Arabidopsis thaliana: one gene and its partners. The protein of the gene in region 2 interacts with the protein of the main gene of each other region in a pairwise test. Each region holds a gene or a part of one and is shown on either strand. Other genes may lie near its edges. The genes, in order: BTI3, RBL15, AT3G10260 and VAP27-1.

What was found.
Region 1: the proteins of RBL15 (region 2) and BTI3 interact in a two-hybrid assay, tested with the Arabidopsis thaliana proteins (one large-scale study listed by BioGRID).
Region 3: the proteins of RBL15 (region 2) and AT3G10260 interact in a two-hybrid assay, tested with the Arabidopsis thaliana proteins (one large-scale study listed by BioGRID).
Region 4: the proteins of RBL15 (region 2) and VAP27-1 interact in a two-hybrid assay, tested with the Arabidopsis thaliana proteins (one large-scale study listed by BioGRID).

What each region holds. Positions count from the first base shown.
Region 1 is NC_003076.8:16,632,795-16,640,012, reverse strand, and holds BTI3 (VIRB2-interacting protein 3), read right to left. Parts: upstream 3,985-7,218; 5' UTR 3,784-3,984; coding exon 3,582-3,783; intron 3,365-3,581; coding exon 3,184-3,364; intron 3,105-3,183; coding exon 2,963-3,104; intron 2,879-2,962; coding exon 2,809-2,878; intron 2,720-2,808; coding exon 2,541-2,719; 3' UTR 2,105-2,540; downstream 1-2,104. Other genes in the region: CHX18 (cation/H+ exchanger 18), read left to right, coding at 1-146, 224-1,459; AT5G41590 (LURP-one-like protein (DUF567)), read left to right, coding at 6,117-6,398. UniProt on the Arabidopsis thaliana protein: Plays a role in the Agrobacterium-mediated plant transformation via its interaction with VirB2, the major component of the T-pilus.
Region 2 is NC_003074.8:21,621,483-21,630,495, forward strand, and holds RBL15 (RHOMBOID-like protein 15), read right to left. Parts: upstream 5,220-9,013; 5' UTR 5,161-5,219; coding exon 5,119-5,160; exon of another isoform or gene 4,991-5,118; coding exon 4,940-4,990; exon of another isoform or gene 4,867-4,939; coding exon of another isoform or gene 4,843-4,866; intron 4,332-4,842; coding exon 4,166-4,331; intron 3,988-4,165; coding exon 3,684-3,987; intron 3,441-3,683; coding exon 3,408-3,440; intron 3,318-3,407; coding exon 3,226-3,317; intron 3,138-3,225; coding exon 3,064-3,137; intron 2,907-3,063; coding exon 2,812-2,906; intron 2,734-2,811; coding exon 2,664-2,733; intron 2,582-2,663; coding exon 2,412-2,581; intron 2,332-2,411; coding exon 2,289-2,331; intron 2,199-2,288; coding exon 2,139-2,198; intron 2,062-2,138; coding exon 1,987-2,061; intron 1,898-1,986; coding exon 1,892-1,897; 3' UTR 1,720-1,891; downstream 1-1,719. Other genes in the region: AT3G58450 (Adenine nucleotide alpha hydrolases-like superfamily protein), read left to right, coding at 550-817, 922-1,031, 1,248-1,366, 1,458-1,575; AT3G58470 (nucleic acid binding / methyltransferase), read right to left, coding at 5,588-5,739, 5,823-5,904, 6,388-6,546, 6,672-7,025; AT3G58480 (calmodulin-binding family protein), read left to right, coding at 7,859-7,862, 7,941-8,313, 8,398-8,512, 8,611-8,676, 8,763-8,851, 8,935-9,013. UniProt on the Arabidopsis thaliana protein: Probable rhomboid-type serine protease that catalyzes intramembrane proteolysis. May function in senescence.
Region 3 is NC_003074.8:3,168,799-3,175,747, reverse strand, and holds AT3G10260 (Reticulon family protein), read left to right. Parts: upstream 1-2,755; 5' UTR 2,756-3,179; coding exon 3,180-3,420; intron 3,421-3,494; coding exon 3,495-3,675; intron 3,676-3,759; coding exon 3,760-3,901; intron 3,902-4,003; coding exon 4,004-4,073; intron 4,074-4,165; coding exon 4,166-4,335; 3' UTR 4,336-4,526; downstream 4,527-6,949. Other genes in the region: GYRB1 (DNA gyrase subunit B), read left to right, coding at 1-18, 133-261, 475-589, 671-738, 826-939, 1,016-1,132, 1,222-1,275, 1,359-1,464 and 2 more; AT3G10250 (histidine-tRNA ligase), read left to right, coding at 5,330-5,377, 5,493-5,598, 5,949-6,131, 6,411-6,896.
Region 4 is NC_003074.8:22,397,106-22,405,159, reverse strand, and holds VAP27-1 (vesicle associated protein), read right to left. Parts: upstream 5,051-8,054; 5' UTR 4,624-5,050; coding exon 4,524-4,623; intron 4,437-4,523; coding exon 4,366-4,436; intron 4,282-4,365; coding exon 4,200-4,281; intron 4,100-4,199; coding exon 3,984-4,099; intron 3,876-3,983; coding exon 3,720-3,875; intron 3,659-3,719; coding exon of another isoform or gene 3,639-3,658; coding exon 3,585-3,638; coding exon of another isoform or gene 3,491-3,584; exon of another isoform or gene 3,248-3,490; coding exon 3,170-3,247; intron 2,866-3,169; coding exon 2,752-2,865; 3' UTR 2,436-2,751; downstream 1-2,435. Other genes in the region: AT3G60590 (cytochrome P450 family protein), read right to left, coding at 5,407-6,428, 6,740-6,932. UniProt on the Arabidopsis thaliana protein: Part of a membrane-cytoskeletal adapter complex that forms a bridge between the endoplasmic reticulum and the plasma membrane. Associates with microtubules.

The DNA of each region.
Region 1 (7,218 bases), on a different chromosome or scaffold from region 2:
CAGCTTGTTTCGGTAAGATATTGGGCACTCTCGGTGTTTCCCTCGCCTTCAAGATACCTATGCGAGAAGCAATAACATTAGGATTCCTCATGAACACTAAAGGATTGGTCGAACTCATCGTCCTCAACATCGGAAAAGATCGAAAGGTATAACTTTTTCAAATCCTTAACAATTTGCGTCATGAAAGTTTATAACTTAAATCTTTCTTTTGTTGTGTCCTCAGGTTCTTAATGATCAGACATTTGCCATAATGGTTCTAATGGCTCTCTTCACAACCTTCATCACCACACCAGTCGTAATGGCAGTCTACAAACCAGCGAGAAGAGCGAAGAAAGAAGGAGAATACAAACACAGGGCAGTAGAACGAGAGAACACAAACACACAGCTTCGAATCCTCACATGTTTCCACGGAGCAGGAAGCATTCCTTCAATGATAAACCTCCTAGAAGCATCAAGAGGTATCGAAAAAGGCGAAGGGCTCTGCGTTTACGCTCTCCACTTACGGGAACTATCAGAGAGATCATCAGCTATTCTAATGGTTCATAAAGTTCGGAAAAACGGAATGCCGTTTTGGAACAGAAGAGGAGTAAACGCAGACGCTGATCAAGTAGTAGTTGCTTTCCAAGCTTTTCAACAGCTAAGCAGAGTCAATGTCCGACCAATGACAGCAATCTCTTCAATGTCTGATATTCATGAAGATATCTGCACAACAGCTGTAAGAAAAAAAGCAGCCATTGTGATTCTTCCGTTTCACAAGCATCAACAGCTTGATGGTTCGTTAGAGACTACACGTGGCGATTACCGTTGGGTTAACCGGAGAGTTTTGCTTCAAGCTCCTTGTTCGGTTGGTATATTCGTTGACCGTGGACTCGGAGGTTCAAGTCAAGTCTCAGCTCAAGATGTTTCTTACTCTGTTGTTGTTCTGTTCTTCGGTGGTCCTGATGATCGTGAAGCGTTGGCTTATGGATTACGTATGGCGGAGCATCCCGGAATTGTTTTGACTGTTTTCCGATTTGTGGTATCGCCGGAGAGAGTCGGAGAGATTGTTAATGTTGAAGTGAGTAACAATAACAACGAGAATCAGAGTGTGAAGAATCTGAAATCGGATGAGGAGATTATGTCTGAGATAAGGAAGATATCTTCGGTGGACGAATCGGTTAAGTTCGTGGAGAAACAGATTGAAAACGCCGCCGTGGATGTTAGATCGGCGATTGAGGAAGTGCGGCGGAGCAATTTGTTTTTGGTTGGTAGAATGCCAGGTGGAGAAATTGCATTGGCGATTAGGGAGAATAGTGAATGTCCGGAGCTTGGACCTGTAGGAAGCTTGTTGATTTCGCCGGAATCTTCGACAAAAGCATCGGTTTTGGTGATTCAGCAGTACAACGGCACCGGAATAGCTCCGGATTTGGGTGCGGCTGAGACGGAGGTATTGACTTCTACGGATAAAGACTCTGATTGAATGAATCATTGGTTAAAAACAAGAACGGTTCGGTTCGGGTCAGGGGTTGGTTTACCATAGTTAGTGAAAAGTTGGTTAATGAATACGGTTTAATCAAAATGACTGTACTTGGCTTTCACTGTTTCATCTTTTCTTTCTTTTTTGTCGTCACTGTTCATCTTTAAGTTTTTTTGCTTTTGAAAGTAAATGGTTAAATGATGACAAAAAAAAAAATAATGGTTGTTGTAAAAAAAGTTATCTACTTTAATCGGAAAAATAATAAATTTAAAAATCCAGTCATTGAACATAAAACTAAAAACAGAAATGTCAGAAGTGGGGTTTGAACCCACGCCCTCTTACGAGGACCAGAACTTGAGTCTGGCGCCTTAGACCACTCGGCCATCCTGACTTTTGATATTGTTTTCTACTACAAACTATATATAGTGATTAACACCTAGTTGTCTACCTTACGTATGTTGCTTACTTTAAGTAATTATCCAGATTTGATGGTTATCATACCGAAAGCGTTTGGTATTGTGGAATCCACTTTTTGTGTGATTATTTTTGTCGAGAAATCGTGAAATCGCAATTTTGGCAAAAGAATTATGAACAAATTTTTTTGGAAAATTATCAAATTGCGTTTAACCTAGTTCATATACCAATCATTTTAGCTTTTCCTATGAACAAGATGTTGAGATGATGAAAGAGATGGAATGGGAAGAATATTATTAGTCAAATAAAAACAAGAAAGATTCTTATGAACTAAAGTTAGATCGCAGTAGCAGTGAAGAGCGAAAAACCCACGAAACAATTTGAGTTTATGTGTATGGACCAATCCTCAGACATGATGCAAAATTGACATGACGAATACCATCATGGAGAGCTGTTAAAAGGATGAGAAATTAACTAAGACAAATAACTAACAACAATAATTATCATCCATCCGTGTTCTCTCATAATCTAAATATTTTTAGTTAAAACCCCCAAATTTATAATGAACATAATAATAACAAGAGATCAAAGGGTTTATCAACCAACAGCTTCTAACAAAACATGTCTTGAACCATTACTACGATTCCAATGAGAGAGTAACTCACATTCCTTAATCCTTCTTCTTGTTCAGAGCTCCTCTTGGAATCTTGCTTATGACCTTACGCAATACCTTCTCATCAAGTACTGCATATTGCTTTTTGATCTCCCTCATCGCCTTCTCCCCATAGGCATCTACTTTGTCCTCATACTTCTCGTAGAGTACAGGAATGGTGAAGAGAAGGACAGTAGCTGGAAGCAAGAAAGAAAAGCTGGTTATCAAGATATGCAAGTATGATTCCTATCAGATTAAATGCAGTAAGATGTAAATGAATCGTTACCAGTGTAGAACAATGTCAAGAAGTTGTAGCAGCTGCCAATAATGGACAAAACCCACAAGCCAGCAATTACCTAAAACATGTGCAAGCAAGTATTAGCATTTATGAGGAACATAAGAAAACCGCTTTGCATCGAGGTAGATAACATGAACAATACCAGGATAAATTTCTTGACATCTTTTCCTGATGCAATGTTCCTAAGAAGGGTCAAACCACGATTGATTTCAATCCTTAATCCAGAAACAAGTTGAAGAATAGGATCTTCAGGGATGTGAACTTCCGGGATGTGAGGAGTTGACCTGAGGATAAGAACTCAGTTGATCAGGCAGTTATCTCATACTTAACACTTAACATATAAGGGATGTTGTAAGAACATACTTGTGGATGAATGTACAAGCATTAGACCACAAGAACAATGCTGCAAGAGCAAAAATCGCAAAGTGACAGAGAAAAGCGAGGAGATGGTATTCGAATAACTCGAATAAGACCCAAGACGCAGTTACAGCACCCAAGACTCCACCAGATACCTTCTTGTTCCTCCAAAGGAATATATCAGCAGCTACATGCAAACAATGAATCCAGATTCAACATAGTTTCTGAGTATTTCACAAGATTTAAGCGTACTTTCGAGCAAAGCAGACAATTAAGCACTCAAATACACTCAATTTTAGCTTCAAATTAGAGCAACATTCACTAGATCGAGCAAAATCACTATGTAAGATACAAAATCGAGTAAAATCAGAGTTCAAAGTGAAGAAATAGAGATAGATCCATACGTTTTCCACCACCGAGAACCTTGTGAACAGGTTTCTCCCTTCCGAAAAGTCGGTAAATCTTTGACTTGAAGGACGACGACGAAGACGATGTAGATTTCTTATCGTCGTCGGAATCGGACAGAGAAGACGAGTCACCGTGGCCATGGATCTTCTCAACAATCTTCTCCAAGATCGATTCCTCGTGCTTGTGGTCTTCCACCATTTTTGTTGATTCTACAAACCTCCGAGAAGAAGAAAAAAAAACCTAAAACTCTTTACTGATTGAAGAGTGTGGGAGGAGACTGTGACGAATAAAAGCGTGTGCTTCAGATTTAATCCCACCCCTTGATTTAAAACATTTAATCCAGTCCGTTTGATTCGGGTCTGGGCCTCGAGTAGGTAACCGTCCACGGTGGAAAATCAAACTATTTATTTTGTAGCAGATGTAACATATTTGGCGTGGAACTAACGGTCGTTAATTAATGTGAATATTCCCGATAACGTCTCCGTTAGTGGAACGTTAGATGTCGGCGGATAGGATCCAGCATTGGGCCCATTTATGGGATTGTTGGTACAGTATTAAGGCCCATTTATTACTGATCCATTTCATAGTAAAAATAAAAAATTGTTAGGCATAGTAAAATTGTTATGAGAATATGTTGATAGAATGAAAATGCTCCTAGATGAAAGATGATCATACACCTGTTGATTAAACATTACAAGGTCACAGATTATATATATTGACATCTCAAAAATTAACCAAGACGCTGCGTTTTGGAGATATTGGATTTCGAAGACCCGGAAGATAAGAGGAGAATAGTCAGTGACTCTCACGCACGTGGGGTTTGAATTGATGACTCTGGTCTCTTGGCCTCGAGATCTAACTTCTTCCGTGGGATCCAATTTTGAGCTGAGTCATGACACGTGTTACAACACGTGTGCTCCACTGTGTCGACATCACTCTTGAAGGTAAGATTTTTTGGAGTAATGGCAAACCCAGAGATCAACAAAATCAGGTTTGACAATGAAAGCTCACTTATTTATTTATGTACTTTTCCAATAATTTGATTAGTCCAAATATATTATTCTATTTGGATATTCATTCATATACATAATTACATACACATGCAGTGTTAGAAGTGAGTTTAATATGGAAGATTCGTCGTCTAGTGTGACATGAAATTCCACCATTTCATATAATTAGATTTTCTTCTTATATATATAATTTTATGCATCTAATCGTGTGGATGAGAATTGTCCTTCACCTAACCAACCTTTTCGAAGAAAAAGAGAGATTTGTTTCTTAATATATCTTCAGAAAGAGAGAGAGATTCGATGACAAAAAGGATAAGAGATTCTTGGAGACCTCAAAAATCTACTATCGTGGGTCTAAGAAGATTACGTGGCTCGTTTTAAGACCCTTGCATAATCTTAAAGTTCTTACCTATTTTTTTTTTTTTGTCGTAAAGTTCTTACCTAATACAGTAATATATTTTTATATTGTATAAAATATTATACATTAATTAATCAAAAAAAAATTCCAATTCAATCCTGAAACAGTGAAACCCATGCGTGCCAAAGCCAAAAATCTGACTACCTTGCTAAGTGCTAATCATTACCCAATCAGAGTTCATATCAGGAATATACCATATCCATAAGAGCTATATACTAATTACTTGCAAAAGTTTGCACCAAACCTTACTACGTACAAAAGAAAAGATCGTAGATGGTCAAAATTGTGGCTTACTATAATGGCTTATTATATAGTTATTTTTAGATAGCTAAATTTCTTGTATATACAATTTTGAGTTTTACGTATAGAAAAAAATATCATATTTGAGTTTGGTAAAAAGGATGAGTAAATAATTTGGAGATTTCAACCTTCATGTTAAGTTTTCATTTTCGATTAATTTTATCTAATTTTTTATTTTAATTTCTTTGATAACCAAACAATGTAATTTAGACTAATCCTTTTGGACTTATAAAACAAAAACAATTTACTATATATGCAAGCTGTAATAGGGTGATTTGAGTTCTAGTCCACTAAATGTAAATGTTACGTACGTTAAATTTGTATTTGTAATGTGATAAAAAAAAATCTAATGACCTGTATTCATTAACTTAAAAAAAATTCTAATTAACTTATAGAATGGTATAATATCTTATCATATTGTATTATTTTTCAAATAACACTAAAAATTTTGACTCATAATTAATAAAACGTTTAAAGCTTTTTAGGTGAAATTCTTATTTTTATATTTTGTAGAATAGTACAGTTTTGTCACTAAGTATTATTTGTGGTCGCATTTAAATATCAAGTAGCGATATTTAAAAACTTTGCAAGTTGATATAAAGAAGAAAAAAATTATAATATAATAAGACAATGATATAATATAACAAAGCTAATATCTTTCATCCACACACATATATATTAGATCTATATATATATATCTCATATGTATACCTAACCTTACCATATTTGTATTGAGAATTGAGATTAATTAGATCTGTAAAACTCTCTTAAAATAGTTAACCAAGAACACCAAAACTACAAAAATGTTCCCTTTCTTGAAGCAACGGTCGAGGTCGGTCCACGGTGAAGATGCACCGTCATCTACAGAGTCCACAGTCTCCGTCGCTGCCGCAGATATTGGAGGAGCGTGTACGACACTCACGGTGTGGAGAAAATCGCTTCTGGTGAGTTGTGAAGGATTCACGGTGATAGATTCGAATGGAGATTTGATTTACCGGGTCGATAATTATGCCCGAACCCGACCCGAGGAACTCATCCTCATGGATAAAGATGGAAACTCCCTCCTCCTCATGCATCGTACCAAGGTAAATATATGTACAAAGTATTTAGAATAAACTTATTTGAATATGTTTTAGAATATGGATCATTATATTCATTGTACACATCATCCTTCAAAATTACAATATCACATTTATTTTAGATTATTAAGAATCAAACCTCTACTAAATCTGTCTCACAGTTGTACTTATGAATCTGTTTTGTTAGCGTTGTAGTTGTAAATTAGTTGTGTAGATATTAGTTCTAGGTTGTAGTTATAAAACATCCAAATACTTGATTGATACAAAACAATAAATGGAGCAACAACAAAATGATTTATAAGAGTTGTGAATTTTTGGTGGAATTTACCAAAATGATATAGAAATACTTTAAAAATTGAAAGAAGTTTTCGTCGTCCTTACGGATCACTCTAGCGAAGTATCGGATCGATTTGCTTACAACCATTAGAATTGTGATAGTTTGTAAATAGTACTTAAGGTCGGCGATATGTTGATAATAATGAACAATGAATGTTGAGTATTAATTTCGCTGATAGACATGTTAGCCGATTTTGTAGAAGACGTTTTGTTTTTAGCCGATTGAAGATATGTATGAACGAAGATATTACGAATACTATAGTATATATATTATTAAGATTGAGTAGGACCAACTACACTACCGTGACACCGTCCACAATAGGTCACGTCAAAAGTTCATAAATATTCTGCATGTGGACAATTGTATTGGCAAGAATTTCGTGTAACCCGTTACATTCTTTGGGAATAGATTTACAAAATTTCATTCAGCATAAAAGTTTTGACTATAAAAGTATAATCATAATTTCATAACGACGTCTAGAATCTCCGA
Region 2 (9,013 bases):
CAAACTTGTTGTTATCCGAAACTTTGATAGACCGACCATCTAGTCAATATATACTTACCACAAGAGGACCTGTTCTTTTGAAACCATTGTGGAAAATAAGATATCAGAACACCAAATATGACTTAGAACACTCAGCAAACAAGATCATTGAAAGACATAGAGATTCTAGAGGCTGACAACTCTGCCTTCTCAAAACTTGATTTAAGCTAATTCAAACCGAATTTAAATCGGTTCGTTTTGGGTTTATCTTTTTCTGAGCAGAACGAAACCGTAAAATTGAACCAAACTCGATTCTAAACCAAAAGCCTTTTCTGGATATTCAAAATAAACAGTTGTCTATGTTGAAAGAAAGACACGTGTCTATGACACAGGTGACGTGTCAATCCAGTATCCATCTTAAACATCTGTTAACACTCTTCATCTTCCACCTACTCAATCACACACTAGCATTACGTAACGTATGGTACGATCTAAATTATTATACATATCAAAAAGTGGCTGGAGCCGAACAAAAAAAACATACGATAGAGAAAACGTACGGAGTAAAAAATGGAGACTTACGTTGATGCGATTGGAGAGGACACGGCAGCCACAACAACGACGGCGGAGACGGCTGCAAATAAGAACAAGAAGAAGTTGAAAGTGATGGTTGCGATTGATGAGAGCAAGAACAGCTTCGATGCGTTGGAATGGGCTGTGGATCATCTCAGAGTTGTTATTAGTGCCGAACCGGAAACCGGTCAAGAAGGCGGTTTACTTACGTTGCTTCATGTTCACCCAACGTACCTTCAATATATCTATCCTTCTGGTGGAACTGGTGAAGAAAAAAACGCTTCTCTCTTTCTTTTATTCTCTATGCGTATATATATATTATATGGGATGTGACTGTATACAATATTGAGTGAGTTTGGAAATTCTTAGCTTCGGCGGTGTATGCGACAGATTCAGTGCCCGAACCAATGAGGAAAGCACGAGAAGAGAGTACGACAAACTTATTCACACGGGCATTGGAGATATGCCGAGGCAAAATGGTGCGCTATATGTGTGAAATAATTTCCTAAAAATTACCATCAAGACATGTCTAGTTTCAACTTTCAACATACTACAAGTTTGGAAAAAATTTCAAAAATACAATAAGTTTAGGGTCTATGAAGTTTACTTTCAGTTTAGGTTTATCAAGGTTTCATAAGAGTTTAGGTTTATCAGTGATCTTCTCTGTCTCTTGAGTTTATGGTTTTATGTTGTAGGTGAAGACAGAGACTATGATATTGGAAGGAGATCCTAAGGAGATGATATGCCAAGCCGTCGAGCAAACACATGTTGATCTTCTTGTTGTTGGTAGCCGTGGACTCGGCATGATCAAAAGGTACAAGTTTCATTTTTGGTCTAAGGTCTAACAACAAATTGAGATTTCTGGTTGTGACTATTCATTCATTCCTGGTGTTTGAGATATACAGGGCATTTTTAGGGAGTGTAAGTGACTACTGTGCCCAACATGCAAAATGTCCAATTCTCATTGTGCGACCGCCTAGAGAAACCTCAACTAGTAACACGAAGGAACACAAGAGCAAGTGAGGAAGGAAACCATGTTATAATAGCTTCTGTTTCATTCCGTTTGTACTCCGTAGAGAAGAAAAAAAAGTGTGCCGCCAATAAACAAGTTTACTTTTGCAAAGTAAAGTTCTACGTAGAGAGATTTTGCAAAAAAAGAAAATTTCAACTGATCTTTCGTTTGTATTAGATTCTAAACCGGAAAATCGGTTTGATCGTCTGGTTAAAGAACCTCCTTAAAGAAAACAGACGCTATACAGTTTCTAAATGCAAGTAAAAGACAGAATGAGAAACAAACGTTACAATACAAGCCAAAACAGTACTTTGCGAGTTGTTGGTGTTAAGCCTGCAAGTTTGATCACAGTGGTTTCGTTGTTAGTAGTGCCTAAACTCTAAAAATGAGTTAATAGAACTCTAGTTCGGAAAAGTTTATACCTGTTGGCTCATTAGGATCTCCACTGCTACGGTGAGATCATCGTCGGCAGCAGCAAGCGCCACTTCCACTTGTGTCTGAAGAAAATCCAGAGACTTTAAGCCATCTATTTACTATTGTTTTAGTTAACGTTGGTATGAAGCAAGAAACGTACCCTGTCAAAGCCCATGGCTACGAGTTTCTGGATTTGTTCTTCGGAAGCAGCAACACGACCCTGTGTTTTAACAGCTCAATAAGAGAAAAGCTTCTAGAAGCTGTACAAGGGTCTGGGTCTGAGCCGAATATCTTAGAGAAGAAAAGTAACCTGGGATTGGGGCAGGACTGCTGCATTAGCTATTGGCGCTTGTCTACACACGGTGAGACATGAGGGTGAGGTTGAAGAATGGCGTAATAAGCTGATAAATCATAAGCTGAAGAAATCAAATACCTTGAATCTGCCACGGTGTTGACAGTTGCATCAGAAAGGCGGTCTGGAGAGCTGCTATCTTCCAGCAGTCTAGCATGGAGGTTTGGGTCTGTTTCTCCAGCTGGAGCAGTAGGATCTCGGGCAGTGCTAAGAGTTCTACCTCTCCCCGGAAATCTACTGTCCTCAGAAGACTGCATGTGAAGTAATATGGTTAGATGTGAATGCATCCACCATGGTAAAGAAAAGAAACTAACAAGATTAGCATGAACGTACCTGATTAGATGCTTCCCTCTGTGGCAACCATGAAGACAAGGATCTCCAAGCATTTCCTGTAGAGAAACCACTGGTCAAAGAAAAAATGTCGTTAGGATATTCTCTGGGCAAACAGTCCAGTTTTTCATATGTTCTTAGGAAACCACACCTGGATGTTGTGTTTTGTGCAGAATAAGTGGGAATATAGCTGGAAGGATTCCCGCCAGTACACATAATGAACTTGGGTCGCCTAATGAAGCTAGACTGGAAGAGGACATAGAAACTGGATGAGTTACGATTAACTCAGAGAGCAACATCAAGAAGCCAGATCTGCATGAGTTTTAAATCCTCGATGGCCTCTCAATTAACAAAGAAAAGGAAACATCAAGAAGCCAGATCTTCTTAAGTACTTAGTACTTACCATCCAGGAGGCTGACTCAATGGTGGTAAAAAATGAAGAGCCAGGCATCAAGAAATTGAAGAGGCCATAAGAATCTGAAATCCAAAGCGACTAACAAATTAGCTCCCCATGAAAATGCAGGTTTAGAAAGAAGATGACAATGAAAAAGGTCAATAATCATACATGAAAATCCAGACAGGATGCCGCATAGATGCCCAAGCAGTGAAACATTTGTCATGAGAAGCTGGAATACTATTAGTAAGATCCACGGATACCTACACATGGATACAAACTTTTACATCATATGAGCAACAAGAAATGCAGGTGGGCATTAAGATGCCAACAAGCAAGACAATGGAGCTTACAGTTTAGCGGGAACGTTGAAGAGACCAAACACACTGCACAGAGAAATAAAGTAGCAAATGAAGAAATATGAGATGCTTCATGAATACAAAGAGTTGGCAAAAAATAGCCCACATTCAGAGGACATTAAACGCATATCTTATTAATATGTGTACAGACATGTGTAGCATTAACATGTTTGGAGAGAATGTATCTGAATTCTAACAAGAAGCTCATATTTACTTGCACTTTGATCTTCCAGAGTCTAAATCATTTAAGTAGCCCTTGAAAATTCTTACCTTCTAGAGGTAACTCCACTGAGACTTGTCTCTATGACAATCATAGAAAACAAGATTCCAGAAAATCCAATGGCGCATTCATTCATGAGATGATCATATTGGTAGAAGGGATTATATCCCGCCAAGGATGCTATAAGAAGATGCAATACGGCATTGGTCGTTGCCAGCAAAACTGTTAGGTAAAGCAAACGGACAGATCCCATGATTCTCTCCAGCTCAGAGCCCATAGGAACCAATGCCATCATGTTGAACAGAACATGAAGCAGTGATCCATGGAAAATAATGGCTGTATAAAACCTATAAACTGCACAGATAACGAGAAACGAGTGAACAAGAGGAAACAAAAAAAATCAGGACAGCTCAGGCATCTGAATTTAAAATTACCAGTTTGCAAGACGAAATAACTTTGGAAATGTAAGTTTTAGTGCCAATAGGAATATCTTCTACATGACATGCAAGCCTCAATAAATATGAGAACATACCTTGGAACCTCGATATGATTGCCGAGGGTAAGAAGCATACTTCATAAAAAGTGTCATATCCAGTTAAGAGGCATATCAGGTAAATGACCCCACAAACTACCACCACCGATGACGTGAGGAAAGGTATGGCATTCCACCACTGTCCAACTCGAGTTTGAACCCCAGCCTATGAGAAAATAAAGAATACATAACTAACCAGAAACAAGACCTTTACCAGTTTATAGGCTTATATCTAAACATTGTGCCGATTATCTACTTGGTTGGACATAGAAACCTTCTAATAATATTCAACCTTATGAATAATTTCAGAAATCTTCAAACAAAAGTATGATCCAGAGTCACAGTTGTATAATAGAATGGTGAAATTGTATTATTATACCTAAAACTTGAAGAACTAATGAAACAACACAAACAGAGGCTGCTATAACCTATTTTATGAAGAGAATGTTTCTACTTTCTACAACGAACGATTGGCCATGAAACTGAAGTTATGCCGAATTGAACTGCTAATTAGTTAACTCTACCGAATTAAGAGACGGTCGTACTGATTTCTGCTATCAGCCATAGCTCGTTCTCACTAGGAGTTTCTCGGTAATTAAACAAGCTAAAACCTCAACAATTTCTGACTAAGATCAAGGAATATAAGCAATCAGAGCAGAAAATTGAACAGATCTCACCTCGGTAACAATGTTCGGCCTCATAATCGAAGTCGCGAATCAGTCCTCTTCTCTGATGCTTGCGTGTGTTTGAATTTCAATGACCATGGAAGAAGACGAACAACTCTCGTTTCTCTCCCACCGTAAAAGACTCTTCTCGAGATCTTAACTTCTTCGCCCGGTTTAGCACTTTGATTCTGGTAAAGTTTGTAGAACCGGGTCGGACCAAAAACTTTTTATTCGCTGAGAGCAAACATCAATATTTCATCTCTTCCTCGCAAATTATAAAGTTGCAACGGATTGAATAATTTTTTGTGATGAGCTAATTCCGTATGTCATGTTGATTCATGATGCAATAAATCATTTTGGTAAATATGTTGAGATTTTGATAATAATGTAAAAGTATATCAGACTTGAGATCTGCGGTTGCAACAAGATACAGAGAACGATTGAACAAAGTGAGGTCACCAAGAGAACATTGATGAAAAATATCCAACACACATGAGCCGATGAGTGTTCCCTGCCACAAATGTTCCTCCGCTGCTAGAGGATAAGGGCTTGAAATGCCAGACACCTGAGATTGGTTAAGGCGCATCGTCATAAGAAATTAACAGCAACTACATGAACAGCAAAAGGGGATGACGTGAACGCGTGAGATGGATTTAAGCACATTGCTTTTTGTGATCAGAAGGGTAAAAGAACAATCACTGGTTTACTCAAGAACAGTCAAAAGACTTTAGAGAAGCAACTTACAAGCAAGTCACAACTAGCTGTCTTCTTCCAAGCCTCCTAATCTGGTACCTGGATCATAACTTATAAACAGTCGGAACTCGTTTCCGAGTTTGCTAGAGTGATGAGGCTTAAACACACAAGGGCGAACACCCAATAGCTCAGCTGCATGTTCTCTTTGCACCTCTCCTGCAAGACGTGAGATATCTCCTAGTTAATAAATCATAAGATCATATAAATTTGACTTGAGAAAACAAAAGTACCCATTGTACCTGTGAGAAGAAGCAACAATGAATCTACTGGGCTTGCGAGGAACAAAATTGTTTGACTAACTCTTTCCAGGCATTCCCTACTCTGCCAAGCATAAACGAATCAAGATCATTAACACGCTAACTAGAAGGTACTCAAAGACATTTATGCTTTGAAGATAGCAAGCAATATAGCACACAAAAACATCACAGATTAATGATATCCTCACAAGTCACAAATACTCCTACCCGGGAAATATTTCAAATGATAATCAAAACGCAGCAGAGAGCCACAAAGTATCCATCTTTAAGAAGTGACACTAAGCCATGACCATAACCAACTGATACTCCATTGTAAAGCTTACACTTTTTTTCTTTCATCTTGTCTGCTTTTGGACTTTCTATAATCTTTTAAAAGAAGATTAATTTATAAGCAATGCCTATCTAGCAGAAGCTTCTTGAATGTCAGAAGTTCAGAGCAGATTACACATCAGTCTCTAAACCTATCTATCAAGGGGCAGCTAAAAGATTTCCAAAATTCCCATGAAAGAACAGCATCGGAAAAGTTAAGAACTTGAAGAAACTTTACCAAGTAGGGAGGATCTGCAACGATTATATGGAAGCAATGTTTCAGCTGAAGCGGCAGATCTTCTGGTTCGTTGTAATCATAGAAAGTGAACTCTTTTCCATATCTCTCGAATCTCATATCGTACTCCAGCAATTGCACCTGAAGACTAGGATCTCTTTTCTGACTCAGCACAAATCAAAACCCGTCGCACAGAAATTTAGCATCAACGACAACAAAAGTATCGATTTTTAGCAAAACGGATTCGATACAAATTAAGGGTACTGAACAAAACTGATTAATAGTACCTTGAGATAAACGTAGAGAGTAGGGCAAGCAATGCAAGCGACTCTGCAGCCTGGAATTCTTTGAGAGAGAGTGACCACTTCATCTGCTACAGTCTCTGCAGTTTCAGGTTCGTACCAGAACTGGCTGAGTCTCCAATCCTCCGTAACCAGCTCCACTTTATCGGATTCTTCTCCTCCGGCGACGGAAGACGCCGGTGGCGTGCTCGCAACAGTCTTGTTCTGGTCTGCTAGAAATTCCCGAAGCGCCGCCAAAGCTTGAGAACTCAACACTAGTGGATCGTCATCTTCTACATCTCCGTCTCGTGGAGCTGAAACTTGACCGTTTAACTTCTGGAGCTCATCTTCTTTTTCCATTTAAGCTTCGGCGTCAGAATTCCGGGATAAAGTCAGATCCTTCGGAAAAGAGAGGACTTAACGGACACAGCGAATTAGAGAGGGCTAGGGCTTTGGTTCTGCTTGCGTTTATACAGAATTTTCATAAAAAGTCCCCAACTTTTGAATGTTTTCTATTGAAGACATGAATTGTTTTTAGTGTCTTTGATTGGTAAACTATTTACAGTATATATTGTTATGAATTAGAAAACAGTAGAAATCCCATAATTAGCTTCTGTGATTTTTTTTAATGGTACTTTAGGGAAATTATTAAAAATTGAAGATTTTCTTATGATTTTTGTTTGGGTCAAATTGATAATGTTTTATTTTCTGGGTTAACATAGGAAGTTTGAATTTTTATAGGGACCTAGTTTTAAAAGCGAAACATTGACGCCAAAATTAGGATAAACTGAGGAGGAGCCAACAAAAATAACAGAGCGATCGTGGAACAGAGGACTCTATTTTTCTCCCAGCCAATGGAACAGATTTGCATCATTGAGAGATTGAGATTTCATGAGAATCTCTTAAATCAGAAATGGCCGCCATTATCGTTCTCTCTCACGTTCCCATCTAATCCTAGACCCATTCAAAGCCTCCTCATTTCCTTTTTGGCTCTGTTGTTTTCTTCCATTAAAAGAATCTCTTCTCTGTTTCATTTCGTCTCATGGGTTTTGTTTGACTTCCAGGTTCTGCTTCTTCTTCTTCACCCTTTCTATGTTTTTGGTGATTCGATGTAATGTCTCAATGATGGAATTTGGATATTTGACATTTTCAGGACATAATAAGGAACTGCTTGAATCTGGTTTCAAGTGAAAATGGGTTAGTATTTGTGACAACTTCTATGAACGTTTATTTGAAGGCATTTTGATCTGAGGCATATTTGTATTGATTGTGCAGAGACAAAGACCATTCTTCGATCAATCAGTTTTAATGACATTGACTCGGATTCAACCATAACTGAATCACCTGAAGCTAGAAAGACGCTATACAACAGATCCCTTAGCGGTAAAGGGACACAACGATCAAGAATTTCTCCAGGAGATGTGGAGAACAATTTCTCTATTAAACCTTTAACTTTTATGAAAGAAGATGATAGATATAAAATGCGGATATGGAAACCTGTTTGCGAAAACGAACATGCAAAAGAATTTTTAGCCTTGTTATTAGGTGATGGAACATATCAAGCTGCATTAAAGTTACAGAAAGTTTATAGAAGTTTTCGAACCAGAAGAAGGCTAGCTGATTGTGCTGTAGTCGTTGAGCAAAGATGGTTCGTGGTGTTATGATTATTGGCATTGGTATATATAGAGAGGATAAAATTATCTGTTTAGTAGTAACTAAATGGAATTTGCAGGTGGAAGGTACTTGACTTTGCTGAACTTAAAAGAAGTTCTATATCGTTTTTTGAAATTGAGAAGCAAGAGACTGCAGTTTCACGCTGGTCTAGAGCAAGAACAAGAGCTGCTAAGGTAACATCAAGCCTATCAACTATGTTGGTTTGATGCACCCGTTTTCGTTCCCATTGCTCCAGTCTTTATATAATGATTTGACCATTTTTATCCCTAAGGTTGGTAAAGGCTTATCAAAGGACGAGAAAGCTAGGAAGTTGGCTTTGCAGCACTGGCTTGAGGCAGTAAGAATATTCTTTTACAATTTGTCTTTCTCTGTGGCTATAAGTTTTGTGTAAAGCCATGTGATCTTAATTTTCTAGCTTAACAGATTGATCCTCGACATCGATATGGCCACAATCTGCAATTCTATTATCATGCTTGGCTCCACTGTGACAGTAAACAACCCTTTTTCTACTGGTAAGATTGCTATTACACAATCAAAAGTATGATAGTATCAAGCGTACAAATTTACGAGCTAACGTCCAACTTTGGACATGTAGGCTTGACATAGGACAAGGAAAAGAATTGAACCACGAAAGATGTCCAAGATCAAAACTTTACCAACAAAGCATCAAGTAT
Region 3 (6,949 bases), about 18 Mb from region 2:
TTTGAAGGTCAAACAAAGGTACTAGGGAGCATAATGATATGTTGACCCTCATTTTTGTCAACAATCTCTGGTCAGCAGGCCATAAGTTTTCTTGGATTCTGTTGATCATTTTAATTTTTTTGTGTCCCAAAGACAAGACTAGGAAATCCAGAGGTGAGAAAAATTGTTGACCAATCAGTCCAGGAGTACCTCACGGAGTACTTGGAATTGCATCCGGATGTACTTGAAAGCATTATTTCCAAATCCTTGAATGCGTACAAGGTGCGACATTGAAATACCTGCTCATACTGTCACATCTTCACCTACACACACATGCACTCAAACACTCAAACATGTGTTTTATCCCTTGAGAAGCATTTTCTGATATCTGTGATTAGCGTATTCTTTGATTGAGTATGTGTCTCCTACAGTATGTCTAGTTACTAACTTCAACCAAATGACCATGGATTTTCCTTGCTGACTCTTTCTTTTTAGGCTGCTCTGGCTGCCAAGAGGGCTAGGGAGTTGGTAAGATCAAAAAGCGTTTTGAAGTCATCCTCACTTCCTGGGAAACTTGCAGATTGCTCATCTACAGATCCTGCAGAATCTGGTATGCATTAACCAATATGAAAGTGCCTTGTAAGCTGTGAAAGTTAGTCAGTTTATTGACATCTATCTCCTATGCTACCAGAGATTTTCATTGTCGAAGGAGATTCGGCTGGTGGCAGCGCGAAACAGGGTCGTGACAGGCGTTTCCAGGTAAAAAAAATCATTCTGCTCAGCGTGTCACTAACAGGCTCTGCTTCTATTTTGTTAGTCTGTAACACTGTATTTCGATCTATGCAGGCAATTCTTCCTTTGAGAGGCAAAATTTTGAATATTGAGAGAAAGGATGAAGCAGCAATGTATAAGAACGAAGAAATTCAAAATCTTATTCTTGGCCTTGGTCTTGGAGTTAAGGTAATATATCCTTTTTCATATCCTGCTGTTTGTTGGTATGTTCGGAAAACTCAGTTTGACATAAAACTTATTTCAGGGAGAAGATTTTAACAAGGAGAATCTGCGTTACCATAAAATTATCATCTTAACAGATGCAGATGTTGATGGTGCACATATCCGGACACTTCTGTTGACCTTTTTCTTCAGATATCAGGTACTAGTTTAGTTTGATAAAACATTAGTTGAAGTAGCCTTGATTGCTGATTGAGTTATGTGAAATTTAATGAAATTTACTTTCTACAGAGAGCCTTGTTTGACGCGGGTTGCATATACGTTGGTGTTCCACCTCTTTTCAAGGTAAGCTCTTAGTATCTATAATCTTATGCTTCAGATTGAACGGAATTTTTTTCTAAAGCTAGTCTCTCTGTGAAAACGATCAGGTTGAGAGGGGGAAACAGGCGCACTACTGCTACGATGATGCAGCTCTTAAAAAAATCACTGCTTCGTTCCCTGGAAACGCATCCTACAACATTCAGAGGTTCAAAGGTAAAACATCCTACTTCTCACATCATGAATGTGTTCTTTTGGAAAGGATAAATAACTATGAAAAGTAATGTATAGTAGTTGTTATGTGTTAGCTATTAAGATACTCTTGAGTGTGTGCATAACGAAATCTAGATTAGTCTCAACTATTGGATTCTATGTAATGTTTCTTGCTTTTGCATCTGCAGGTTTGGGTGAGATGATGCCTGCGCAGCTATGGGAAACAACGATGAATCCAGATACAAGGATATTGAAGCAACTAGTTGTTGACGACGCAGCAGAAACGAATATGGTCTTCTCATCTCTGATGGGTGCTCGGGTAAGCCAATGAATTGCCAGACTCGGACTCATGATAATAGTCAATAAACTGGCATAACTCATCGTGACAATGTTATGTTCTGTGTATGTTTCAGGTCGATGTCAGGAAGGAACTCATCAAAAGTGCTGCGACTAGGATGAATCTGGAGAATCTCGACATATAACACAGCTTATAGTTATTGCTTCAGCTATATACAAACAACAAAGAAACGACTCTGGTGAAATGCAAAGGGAGACATCATCATTTCAAGGTTAAATCATATAGTCACAGGCCAACAGGATTTTGTTCTTCTTCTGGCCTATAAAGGACAAAATTCATTGTTAGGATTATCTCTTTCAATGTCAAAATTTAGCAATTCACAAGGCTCTTTGTTGGGCGTTTCTTTCCATTGGAACTAGAATTTTTCTAGAGACAAGAGAAATTTGCATTCACTAGGTATTTACTATATATTATGACTTCAACAATTTGGCATTCCTGAAAATCATGCATGCGACGAAGTTAAAACTAATGATTAGAAGGAAGATGAGAAGGTAACTATTGTGCAATGAATATCTTCTCTGCCTGTTGTATTGATTTTAATTGTATTCGAGGTTAAGTTTTGACTGATGTTTTACTAGCGATCGCAGAGTGATCGATAATTAACAAGTTTATTTTTCGATTTGGTAGGTATATAGTGAATTAAACATGATTTTTGTTCTTCCTGAACAACCTAAAGCAGTGTTATGAACGCATCACGCATGTAACAACCAGTCAACCATATTAGTGTGACTTTAATTCATTGAATAAATGAAATTTTTTTATTTTCAACAAGGCTTGTAACGGTTGATAAATCTACTCAGAAAACTTCTTTTTGTTTGTCTTGCAAATACAAACGATACGTTTCAACTCTTTTTTTGGCGTCCAATAATACTTCTTAAAAAATAATTTGTTTATTGTCATGAGCTACACGTGGGAAGACAAGTCCTATCCATTATTACTACACACTACTCCAACATTTGCCCACATTTTGAAAAAAACATTTTTTTGTAATTCAATTATTCGACACAACCAATCCCATCTCTTGTTTCACTTCCGCCCTCCATCTTTCTTCGTGATTGAGAGAATCTTCAACGAAAGAAAGCAACTTTTTTTGGGTGAAATTCACAGAACAACCAAGGTTTTTCTTCTTCTTCTTCTTCTCCAGTTCCTACAGGTTTACTCTTACTCATCTTCATCTTTGTCTCGTTCTTGCTCTTCAATTTCTGGTCTTTTTGTTGTTCTTGTCTTCTCGCCAAATATACTAAGATCTAAGTTTTATATCATTGTAATTATCACCAACGAACTGTTAAGACCAAATTTGATTACTCGAAATGGTTTTGGGTTTAGGGTATGAAGAACTGATCAAAAGATTCAATTTTTTATGAAGTCAACTTTCATCTGCAAATTGAGCAATCTCAGATTTCGATTGTGTTTCAGAATCATGCCTGACAAGAACATCGTAGAGGACGTTATCGGTGATTTGGTGGATAACTTCACGGAGACTGTTCAGAAGAACAAACATGGTTCCTCCTTCTTCGAACAAGAAGATTCCGTCAGTTCTCGTTTCAACCGTTTGTTTGATCGCCAGAAGCCAATTCATCATGTCTTAGGCGGTGGCAAATGTAAGAATTCGTATACAGGAACATAAATATGAGATTGGTTTTTCTTGTAATTGAGTATTGAGAGATTCCTTCAGCTGCTGATGTGTTGTTATGGAGGAACAAGAAGATCTCTGCAAGTGTTTTGATGGGAGCTACCGCAATTTGGGTGCTTTTTGAATGGATCAATTTCCATTTCCTGTCTCTCGTTTGCTATGCCCTCTTGCTTGGTATGATTGCACAATTCGTTTGGTCTAACGCCTCTGGATTCTTAAACCGGTAACTTGTTGGAGTGTTGTTGTCATTATTATTGGTACCTTGTGATTGCAATCTAACACAATGTCCTTTAATGTCTCAAAGCAGCTCACAGTCTAGAGTGCCTCGCCTAGTTCTTCCAAAGGATTTCTTTGCTGAAGTCGGTGTGGCCGTTGGAAAAGAAGTTAACCGCGGTTTGTTGTTTCTTCAGGACTTGGCTTGTAAAGGGAATTTGAAACAGTTCCTCATGGTGCGTTGTTTGTTTCAATAACCACAATCTTGTTTGTATAATGTATTAGCACTTTCATTACTATGCTAAGATAGAAACTTTGATCACAATATCATTTTTCAGGCTGTAATCGGACTATGGGTAGCTGCAATGGTCGGGAGCTGTTGCAATTTCCTAACTGTTTTGTATATCGGTGAGTGGTTCTTATTAGTGTATCCTCTTTTGAGATTGGAAGTTGAGTAATACAAGACTTTAAAGGGATGCATTTTATGTGTGTGTGTGAAGGGTTTGTTGGGGCACACACAATGCCGGTTCTGTATGAGAGATACGAAGACGAAGTGGATGGTTTTATGGATTCTATGATCATGAAGTTTCATAGTCATTACAAGAAGCTTGATACTGGGTTTCTCAGTAGAATCCCAAGTGGAAAGTTTGGATTAAAGAAGCGTGAGTGACTAAATCACTCAAGCATTTTCTTATTTTACCTTGTTTGTTGTTAGAACAATATGGATTATGGTTTGCTAAATGAATGTTTTGAGAATATTATTCATTCATGTAGATTTTGTGTATTTCCTTACTAAACAATACCTTGTCCATGTATTTGTCAATACCTTGGTTAATAAGAGAATCATCATATCTGTCAAAATTATACAAGTAGATTGAGAGTTCATTAACTCAATGTCTAAAAATGTAAGACTTAAAACAAGTTTGAATCAAAATTATTTCACAAATCAAAAGTATGGTTTTCTTATTTCGTAAGAATCGTTGACTAATATTGACCGGCTGGCTAATAAGAAGATCAGATAACTCTACAGGTATGGGATCCACCATTGTCAAACATTTTACACGTGTCAGCTTCCTGAGCTTCGAAGCCTGAATGTTAAAATTAAAAAATTTAAAAGAAAGAAATATAAAAAGAAGTAAATCAAAGAAAATGGAGTAAAGAAATTGATCCACGATCGATCAACAAAGTGAGGTTAGGTTCCATCTCCACCTCTTTCTCTCTCGAATCTTCTCCGATTAAAGGTGCTCTTTTGCTTATGAAATTTGTGTTTCTTAAGCTAATCGAATTTGTTTTCTTGATCGTTTTGATGTTCTTTTTTTTTTTTGTTATTGTTGTTGATTTGATGTGATCCGGTTGTATTTGAAGACGAAATCGATTCGAAGTGTTGAGGTTTAGTTTGGGGTAAAATAGATGATTCTCAATCTGTTCTTATTTGTGAATTATTTTGTATTTCTGATTCTCTGTTTTTTTCTGTTTTTTTTTGTTTTTTTTTGGATTTGAAACCTAGAGAAAGAACCTTGTTTCATTAGTGGGAGATAAAAACCTCTAATGATTTGATATAAATTTTTGAACTTGTACAGATTCGAATCGATTTCCCTTGTACCCTCTCTTAATACTGGTTCTTGCCTGACAGGAACAAGGTCTGGTTTACAAAAGTCTCATAGATGTCGAGTGGAACAGTGAGAAGGGTTTCACGTCAAGATATACAACTGGTAATAACAACAAAAATAGATCATGATGAAGGAAGGCCTTTGGTTTCATTGTCTGAATCTGCGACAATTTGAATTCGTCCTCTTCCAACTCAATAAAACTTACTTTTGGTTTCAGGTTCAAAACCTTATAGAACGATGCCTTCAACTTTACATGAATCAGAAAGAAGTTGTGGATACTTTACTAGAGCAGGCTAAAATCGAGCCTGGGTTCACAGAACTAGGTAGCCACTCAAATACTCTGTTTTCTTTTCATAGAAATTAGCATCTGATTCTGTAATCCTTGTTCATTGATGAATCTGGATTCATTACTGTGAATGAAAAGGTATTAATATATCTATTACCAGTTCAGGACATCTGTAGCCAAAATCATGTGTGAATGATTTTGTTGTTGCTTAAAACTGAAATCTTATGTATTGTTTGGTTCAAGTGTCACCAAGAAGGTCTTATTGGTCAGAACCTAGTTAGGAAGTGCTCAATAGATCATGAAATATGAGAGAATATGTATAGTAGTGAGTATCGATGATAAAAAATGGGGATTTATGATAACACGCTTTCTTTTTATGTTTAAAAGTTTGGCAGAAGCTTGAAGAAGAGAATCGGGAGTTTTTCAAAGCTTACTATCTTAGGCTAATGGTTAAACACCAGATAATGGAATTCAACAAGTTGCTTGAGCAGCAGGTTCACCACATGCGTCAGATGCATCCAACTGGTGTTGCTTCTGTCCAAAACACAAATGGTTCTCATCTTCAATCAAGTAAGATTCGTTTGGAGTGAGATGGATTTTAATTTCTGCATTTTAGGGTCTCTTTATTGCTTGTATACTTTTGCTATGAATTGTTGTTCAAGTGTTGTAGTAAACAGTCCTCATATGCATTGTCTTGTTTTCTGGCTTCCACTTTTGCTGCCTTAGTTCTTTTCAAGGTTTCTTTTTCCTGTGAACATTATGTGTTTGTTGTTTTCCTTAGATTAGTCATTCATTCAAGTCGCTAACTGATGAGTATTAAATAGCTAATCTATGTGATTTTCTTAACAGTGAATCAGAAACAATTATGCTATCCCTCTGAGCACACTGACCAATCTTTGAAGTCTGAAAGTGCACATCATCCAATGGCTTCTAGTCTGTCTAATGCATTCCTCAATGGCTCTTCCACACTCAATACAAACGTGCCCTCTTCTATAAACATATCAACCCATGCTAGGAGAGTTGATGCTTCTCCAAATATGCTCTCATCGCAGACCACAAACATGCCTATGATGCAAGGAATGAATGGAGGAATGATCAAGTCTGAGACTGCCTTTACAAACCCTGCTTCATTCATGTATGGTGGCGAACGGAATGCCCTCGAAGGACATTCGGCAGTTGGGGATACTTCGATTCCTAATTTCAGTAACGAGTCCAACAACCAACCCCTCAGTGATCCGCTTCTTGAAGCAGAAGCTTCTACTTTTGGGTTCTTAGGTCAAATTCCTCGTAACTTTAGCCTCTCTGATTTGACTGCTGATTTTTCTCAGAGCTCAGGTCTTTCTCCATCTCAATATCTCATATACTCCTTTCTCTCTCGTTGTTCTGAC
Region 4 (8,054 bases), 780 kb from region 2:
TGACGGTTAAGTAACTAAAATTTAAATTTGTTTAATTAGTTTTTGATGGTTTAGTAGTTGTCAAATAAACCGACAAGTGAAAAAAGGAAATTAACACGAGTTAACTTTTTTTGTTTAAAGGAAATTTGAATCCCAAACACATGTGAAAAAAGGAAACTTGAAACCTAAACACATGAGAGAGTTTATAAATAGTAGTCGGTCGCTGCTCTTCAATTATCTTCTCGAATCTAATCGATTGATTTCTCATTTGGATTCGTCAAGAGAATCACTGAAGCGTTTGTGTTCCAAGTAGAAAGATATGGCAACTCTTGAAGATTCTTTCCTTGCTGACCTTGACGAGTTATCTGAGAATGAAGCAGAATTGGACGAGAATCATGGTGATGTTGGAAAGGAGGAAGAAGATGTGGATATGGATATGGCGGATTTAGAGACACTTAACTATGATGATCTCGATAGTGTTTCTAAGCTTCAGAAGACTCAGAGATATGATGATATTATGCACAAAGTAGAGGAGGCTCTTGGGAAAGATTCTGATGATCATGAGTATAAGCTTATTGTGGATTGTAATAAGCTTTCGGTTGATATTGAGGATGAAATCGTTATTGTCCACAACTTTATCAAAGAAAAGTACAAGCTTAGGTTTCAAGAGCTTGAGTCGTTGGTTCATCACCCTATTGACTATGCATGTGTTGTCAAGAAGATTGGCAATGAGACGGATTTGACTCTTGTTGATTTTGCTGGCCTTGATCTTACTCCAGCTATTATCATGGCTATTTCAGTTACTGCTTCAACTACGAAAGGGAGTGCACTGCCAGAGGATGTTTAGCAAAAGGTGTTAGAGGCTTGTGATCGGGATTTAGATCTTGATTCCGCAAGAAAGAAGGTCCTTGAGTTTGTTGAAAGTAAGATGGGTTCTATTGCTCCTAATCTTTCCGCCATTGTTGGGAGTGCTGTTGCAGCCAAACTCATGGGGACAGCTGGAGGTTTGTCAGCACTTGCTAAAATGCCTGCCTGTAATGTTCAAGTTCTTGGCCACAAGAGGAAGAACCTTGTTGGGTTTTCTTCTGCAACGTCTCAGTCCCGTGTGGGTTATCTGGAGCAGACAGAGATTTTCCAAAGCACGCCTCCTGGACTTGAGGCTCGCGCTGGCAGGCTCGTGGCTGCAAAATCAACTTTGGCAGCTAGAGTTGATGCTACTAGAGAGGATCCGTTAGGGATAAGTGGAAAAGCTTTCAGGGAGGAGATCCGTAAGAAGATTGACAAGTGGCAAGAACCTCCTCCTGCAAGGCAGCCTAAGCCACTTCCTATTCCTCATTCTGAGCCGAAGAAAAGAAGGGGTGGTCGCCGTCTAAGAAAACTGAAAGCAAGGTATCAAGTAACAGATATGAGGAAGCTGGCCAACAGGACGGCCTTTGGTACACCTGAAGAGAGCTCCCTCGGTGATGGACTAGGAGAAGGTTATGGAATGCTTGGACAGGCAGGAAGCAAGAGGCTGCGAGTATCCAGTGTTCAGAGCAAGCTTAAAATTAATGCCAAGGTCGCCAAAAAGCTTAAAGAAAGGCAGTATGCGGGTGGTGCAACTACCTCTGGTTTGACATCAAGCTTGGCTTTCACTTCTATGCAGGGAATAGAGTTGTGCAATCCTCAGCAAGCTTTAGGATTAGGAAGTGGGGCTCAAAGCACTTCTCAGAGTCAGGAACCTTCTCGAAGCTGAAGAAGATCTAAAATATGCAAGACAGAGATACAAGCTTACAAGTGTTGAAAAGCCGAGCAATAAAAGTGTAAAAATGATACAAAGGTGGAAAGAAACTGCTTTCTCTATCTCATGTCTGTTTTAAGGTTTCTTCGGTCACTAAAGAGACAAAAGACATTGTTTGTTTGATCAGTCTTTGAATCACTTTTTGAAACGAAAATAAAAATATAGATGTACTCTCATCGTTTTAGTATCATCGATCATCATCATAAACAAACCAGAGAAACAAGAAACAGAGAGAAATAGTCTCATCGTTATACTCTCAACACATATAAAAACGTAAATTTGTTTTATCTATAATCTTTGATCAATTCTCCAAAATTTCTTCTTCTTAGCGCTGCTATCTGATCCAGGTAGTTTCTATTTCTCGCTCTTTTCTCTTGTAGTTTCTCCCATTTAGTATCTTTCTTTGCTTCAAGTTTTATTTGTGTAGCACGTCGGGTGTATGGACCAGACTAGGACAAATGAATAGTAAACCAAGAAGATGCAACAGGGTAATGGAGAACCGAGTCTTGTTGGTCTATTCGTTGTCCAAGTCCATGGTTCTTAGATGGAAACTAGAAGAAGATACTAAAAGTTGCACATGATTTAGCTCTTTCTTTCCTCATCAGTAAAAAACATAAGCATGAAACATTGCCGTTGTAGTTCATCTCTGTTCAATATTGATGTAAGAAATTATGTGGTAAAGGAAGAGAAAAGCATTTGGAACAAACATATACATACACTGACTAATGCAGACACGGAGGAAGGTTTGAGATGGAAAATGAAGTTAAGAAATATAAGAGAATTAGTGGAGAAAGAACCAACGCAAAGTCATTTGGATTACAAAAGTTGAAAAAAACATAGCAAACTGAGTTACGAAACACAAATCTTCTAGGACACCTTTTTAAGGCGAAATTGACAAATACAGAAGAGAAAAAAATGTCCGACTGAAAAGAGTTAAAAGTCTTTTTTTTTTCCTTCGTGGCGGGTGAGGGATTAATTTCAAGGTGGGTGGTTTATGTCCTCTTCATAATGTATCCCAAAATTAGACCGATGAGTCCGACCAAAAGAACGTACATGAATGGGATACCACCACTTTGGCTCTTTTTGCTTTCACGCCTTAACTGATCCTGCCACATCAAACCAAAATCTTTGTCAGATAAACAATCTCAAGATTCTAAACTAAGCTTGTGGAATATTCATACAAGACTGGTTTTGATTAATGGTATGGTGAGATAAGTCAACCATGGAAACAGAAGCCAATGCAAAAGATAAGTTAAAGCATCTCTTCACAAAAACAAATGATGACTTTAAGCATACCTTCTCAAAACCATGGAAAAACACTACAAACGCTACAGATTGCTAATCATCAAAGTAACAAGAGCATGGAGGAGATTCAGAGATAATAAAGGATCCAAGTGAGAGTTGTTTTACCAGTTCTCTTTGAAGTCTGTTGTTCAGTTGAATGGCAGACTGTTTTTCTTCGGTTAGCTTGGTAATGAGTGCCCTCGCCTGAAATCATACAAAATTCAGCGGTAATAGAAATAATGTAGAATGACTGAAGCAAAATAGTGTATAGTAAGTGGTAACTGTGTCAAAATAACATCTACGAGGATTTGGTGCACAAAAAGACAATTAATGGACGGCTTGAGCACTGGACAGGCTTCTAAAAATGTAGTGAACCTTTTAAGTAATCAACATAAAGAAAGATTCTCAACCTAGTAAATCAGCCTAAAAGGCAACTTTCCAGTAAAGCTACCTCCAAAAATCAGTTTTAAACAGAGCAAAAGCAAAAGATGATGTCACATGGTTTTGACGGTGACAAACTTGGAAGAATTGTGAAAAATACCTCAGATGTGTTTTCTTGATGTCCAGCCTTGTTGTCCACGATAAATCTCTCAAACTAAAATTAAACATGAAAATCTACATATAAATATGTCTACCAGAGAAACTGAAATCTAAACTTAAGTTAACATGTACTAACCGAAAATTCAGAACCATGTCCATTATCTGAGACAGAAGCCCTGGGTGAAGAACCCTCTTCAGATCCTTCGTGAACCGGTGATGGTGGTCGTGGTGGAGCAACATAAGTAACTCTCAGTTTAGTTTCCTCAACTCGATGTCCAGCCTCTTTGCTAAACTGCAAAATTTCATTACAAGAAACAAGAAAAATACTGCTTTTAAGTAAAACCAACACCAAACTGTAACCATCCATATGAAAACTGTAACCATCCATATAATAATATACCATCTCAGGAGTAACTTCCTTGGCTGTGACACCAGGACTAGCTATCACACCTTGAAGCAGAAACTTGTCCTTGCACTGCATATCGGAAGGAGCTTCCTTTTGAGCTTGCATGGTCACTATATCAAACCAGACATTAAGAATTCATCAAATTCCCTAATCCAATAACCAATTTAGCAAATCGAAATTAACAAAAAAAAACACAAATCGAGAACAGACCAAGAACTTCGCAAGTAGACCTCGGGAGAACAACTCCAGTATTAGGCCTAACACAATACTTTTTCGGATTCGTCGTCTTAACCTAAATCATCACGAGAAGCCTCAGAAACACGAAACAATTTTTCTCGATTCCAAAATTGATAAGGCTAAATAAGAGAATTATAACCTTAAAGGCAACATTATTGTCGGTCTTGTTCGTCAAATAGAGAGAGCAAGAGATCTGCTTCTTCAATTCAACTACATCAAATCAGAGAAGAAGCTTAACACATAGATCTGGGGCAATAAGACATGCGAAATATTGAAAGAGTTATGAATAAAGCTTACAAGGGAATTGAAGATCGAGAGGCTCGACGGTGAGAAGCTCGCTGTTACTCATCCCGATCAGATCGCGGTTACTCATCCCAATCAGATCGATGTTACTCATCCCGATCAGATCGCCGGAGATTCAAATCGATTTTCCGAGAGAAAAAAAAAACGGTTTCCCGGCGATTAGATTCGTCCCGTGACACCGTCTCCGGTTCAGAGAGAGAGCAGTCGTCGATCGAGAGAGATTAGACAGAGCTAATGAATAGAGTGGGACATCGCTATTTGTCTTGTTCATTTCTCAAGGGTAATACTGTCAATTCATTTAAAATTGATAAAAACGCAAACGCGCCCTAATCGCAAACGCGTGGAGATGAATTACAACAACAACAATTCAACTAAAGTAAAGAATATACATTATAATCTGATCATATTTCACAACGTAACGTATAACTTTCTTTTTTTTACTGTTACCAAGTACTCACCAAATGCAAAAACCTATTACTTATAAGGCTATAACACAGTACATATATTTTTCTTCTTCTTTCTGACATGACTTAGTAAAAATACAAAACCATATAAACTAGTCTTATTCGACATTATGCTCTACTTTCTTAAGAGAAACATTTTCATCATTTTTCGTAAATTCTTAAATGTCTTTCTTTGACAGGAATCTGTGTCAACCTTTGCATATTCTCAACCTTAACGTCAACCTATCAGCCTTTAATATTGAAATGAATAACATCACATACCTAACTAAAAGAGCGAATATGATCATAAAGAATATGTGTTTTTTTTTAATCCTTATCACCAACCCACGAATAATAAAAGCTATACAGTGAAGAAAGAGTTACAAATCTTTGACATGACTTTAAAAACTAAACGAAGAAACATTTATCTGTCTTTACTTAGAAGCAACAGATTGTGGTTGCTGACCTGTTGTTGTTCTAGATGCAAAACCAGCAAACCAAGCAACTCTCATGAGTTGCATTCCCAAGATCAATACCCACCAAGAGACAAGCCCACGAAGCATATGAACCACCCAAACCGGTGCGTTGACCTCTGCACTAAGTGTCAACCCTCTCATCAGTTGCAAGATTCGGTAAGCCTCGTAGACAACTGGTGTGACTAGCCAGACCGGTGATTGCCAGTGCCATGTGAGGATCTCTGTTAATGTCTGAACAGCAAGGAGAATGAAGTACGGGAAGAGGATAACAGCGGACGAGAGGAAAGGAATCTGGGGCTGGAGAGAAGCGAGAAGGCCAGATTGGGATCCGAAGAGAAGTAACATTGGGACTAGAAACCCGATTATGAGTGAAAACATGTTCCAGAACTTATAGCTAAATGGTGGTTTGCTGTTGCAGGACTGTGATGGGTCTTTAGGACGTGCGCAAGAATCAGCCATTAAGAGGAAAAGGGTTGCTCCAAGATTGAAAATGCAATCTAGACCGATCAAAGAAAGTAGACTAACCACGTTGGAACCGAGAAAAACCGATGACAACGGAAGCCATAAAGTAGGCGCCATACCGCTTGTGAGGAGAACAGATGGACCCAAAAGCCATATTGGCCATTTAAGTACCTGAACTTGAGAATTAGTTCGTTGTTGCGCTGACATATCTACTTTCTCTTCCTCTGCACTCTCGGAGACAATAGATTCGAACACATTCGCGGTTTTGTCCAATACTATATCAGCAGCTTCTTCTGCAGAAGCATGAATGAAAGGTGACGGTTCCCACTGAGACAGCTTTGGTGTGCATAAGACACGGAGATTTCTGAAACGGAAATTACAAGATCCAGTCTTTAGTTTCTGCAACATATTCGGATTCTTGAGACGGACTCTTGGAGTCATAGTGCATAGAGACTTTGTAAGAGATACCATTCCTTGGCTCACCATTGAAGTCTCTAAAAAAAGCTTCAAACTCTGTTCTTAACATAAACAAACAAAACAGAACATTTCAAAATCATCAGGACCAAGACGATACATGGACACAGGGGAAACACTTGAAGCTACTAAACCGGATAATCGATATCAAATCAATACAAGTCAGAATCAAAACCGGTAAGTGAAGCAATTAAGCATAAGGAGGGATAAACCAAATTGAAGTCGATTATCAAAATATATACCGATCAATTTTACCATGAATTCTCGGGAAGGTAATCACGATAACATATAAGGAAATCGAATTAAAGAGTAAGAAGCCGATATGAAATCGGAAAAATAAAATAAAAACACTCACCGGCGAATCGCAGAACGGTAAGATCCCTAATCCGTTGGCTGTTTCTTCTCTTAACGTCTCCGGAGAGAAAAATCTTTAGAATAAACTTGAATGTGACGTGTTTGGATACTAAGATAATCATGTCCGGAACAAAAATACAAAGAGCTACTATGATTATACGACGACGTGTTGATAACTTGAATAGTCGGCCCATCCTTTTTAAAAAGCCCACTATAGATCGGTAGCTTATGTTTATATTTTGTTATAATTTTTGATAAGGAGGATTTACGTGTCTTCAAAAAGCTAAGACGATGGCCATGGTGGCACTGTTCACCGTTGACGTTGTTTTTGTCACTGCCAAATGAAACGTCTTAGCCCGCGTAGTTCTTTTGGCAGTTGGAGTGGTCTAATCTCGTACTTTCCGACGTCTCTTTGTCCCTGCAGGGAGTTTATGCATTATTTTGGTCGTATGGATTAAAGGTACGTATGGAATGGTAGTAACAATGATAACGAGATTTTGATAATAATGATGGTGTGAACAGAAATGTAAAAGTGAGTCATTCTCATTGGCTTCGGACAAGCAAATCTAGTGAAATGTTACTTTACCAAGTCACGACACTATCCAAAAACCAGACTTATTGAAACCATTTGTTTGGCTACCAACTTTTGTATTGCACTAATTCATAATCGAGATTTACAATCAGAATGGATCATGTAAAAAGTTACTTATGAGTTTTTGTTTTCTTTTAATTTGGAATCTCTTACTATGATTTAATTCATGATTTTGTATTATTTTATTTTTCATTTATGCATACATTTTTTTTTTATTACAAAAAGGGTATTTTGAAACGATTTTGCGCTTGGTACACTAAGAATTTAGGGTTTGGGAAAGGAGACTTTGAGAGTTGAGACGTGACTTCAAGAAAACAGGACAGAGACGGAATTTTGAGAAGCATGCATCTTTTCCTCCGTTTTAGTCCTTTTGAACTTGAGACTCGAAAGAAAACTGCAAGACAAAAACTTGAATTTTACTATTAAAACAAGTTCTAATTAGTCTAGTTTGGGGTATGGGAACAATAAGACAGGTAAAAGTATATATTAGAGAGCTGTCCGATTTAGTTGACTGTTCATTAAACTTTTTTTTTTTTTTTGATTGATGATGACTTTTTTTTTTATCGTATCCATAATGTACCACATATTTTGTTTATCAGAAAAAATTAATACCGTTTGGTATCTCTATCTTTTTACCTATATTAGTATATTACAGACCTTTTTCTTGCCACTTCTGTTATTTTGTTGTCGTTTTTTTTTCATTTTGAAAACTTTTATCATTTCA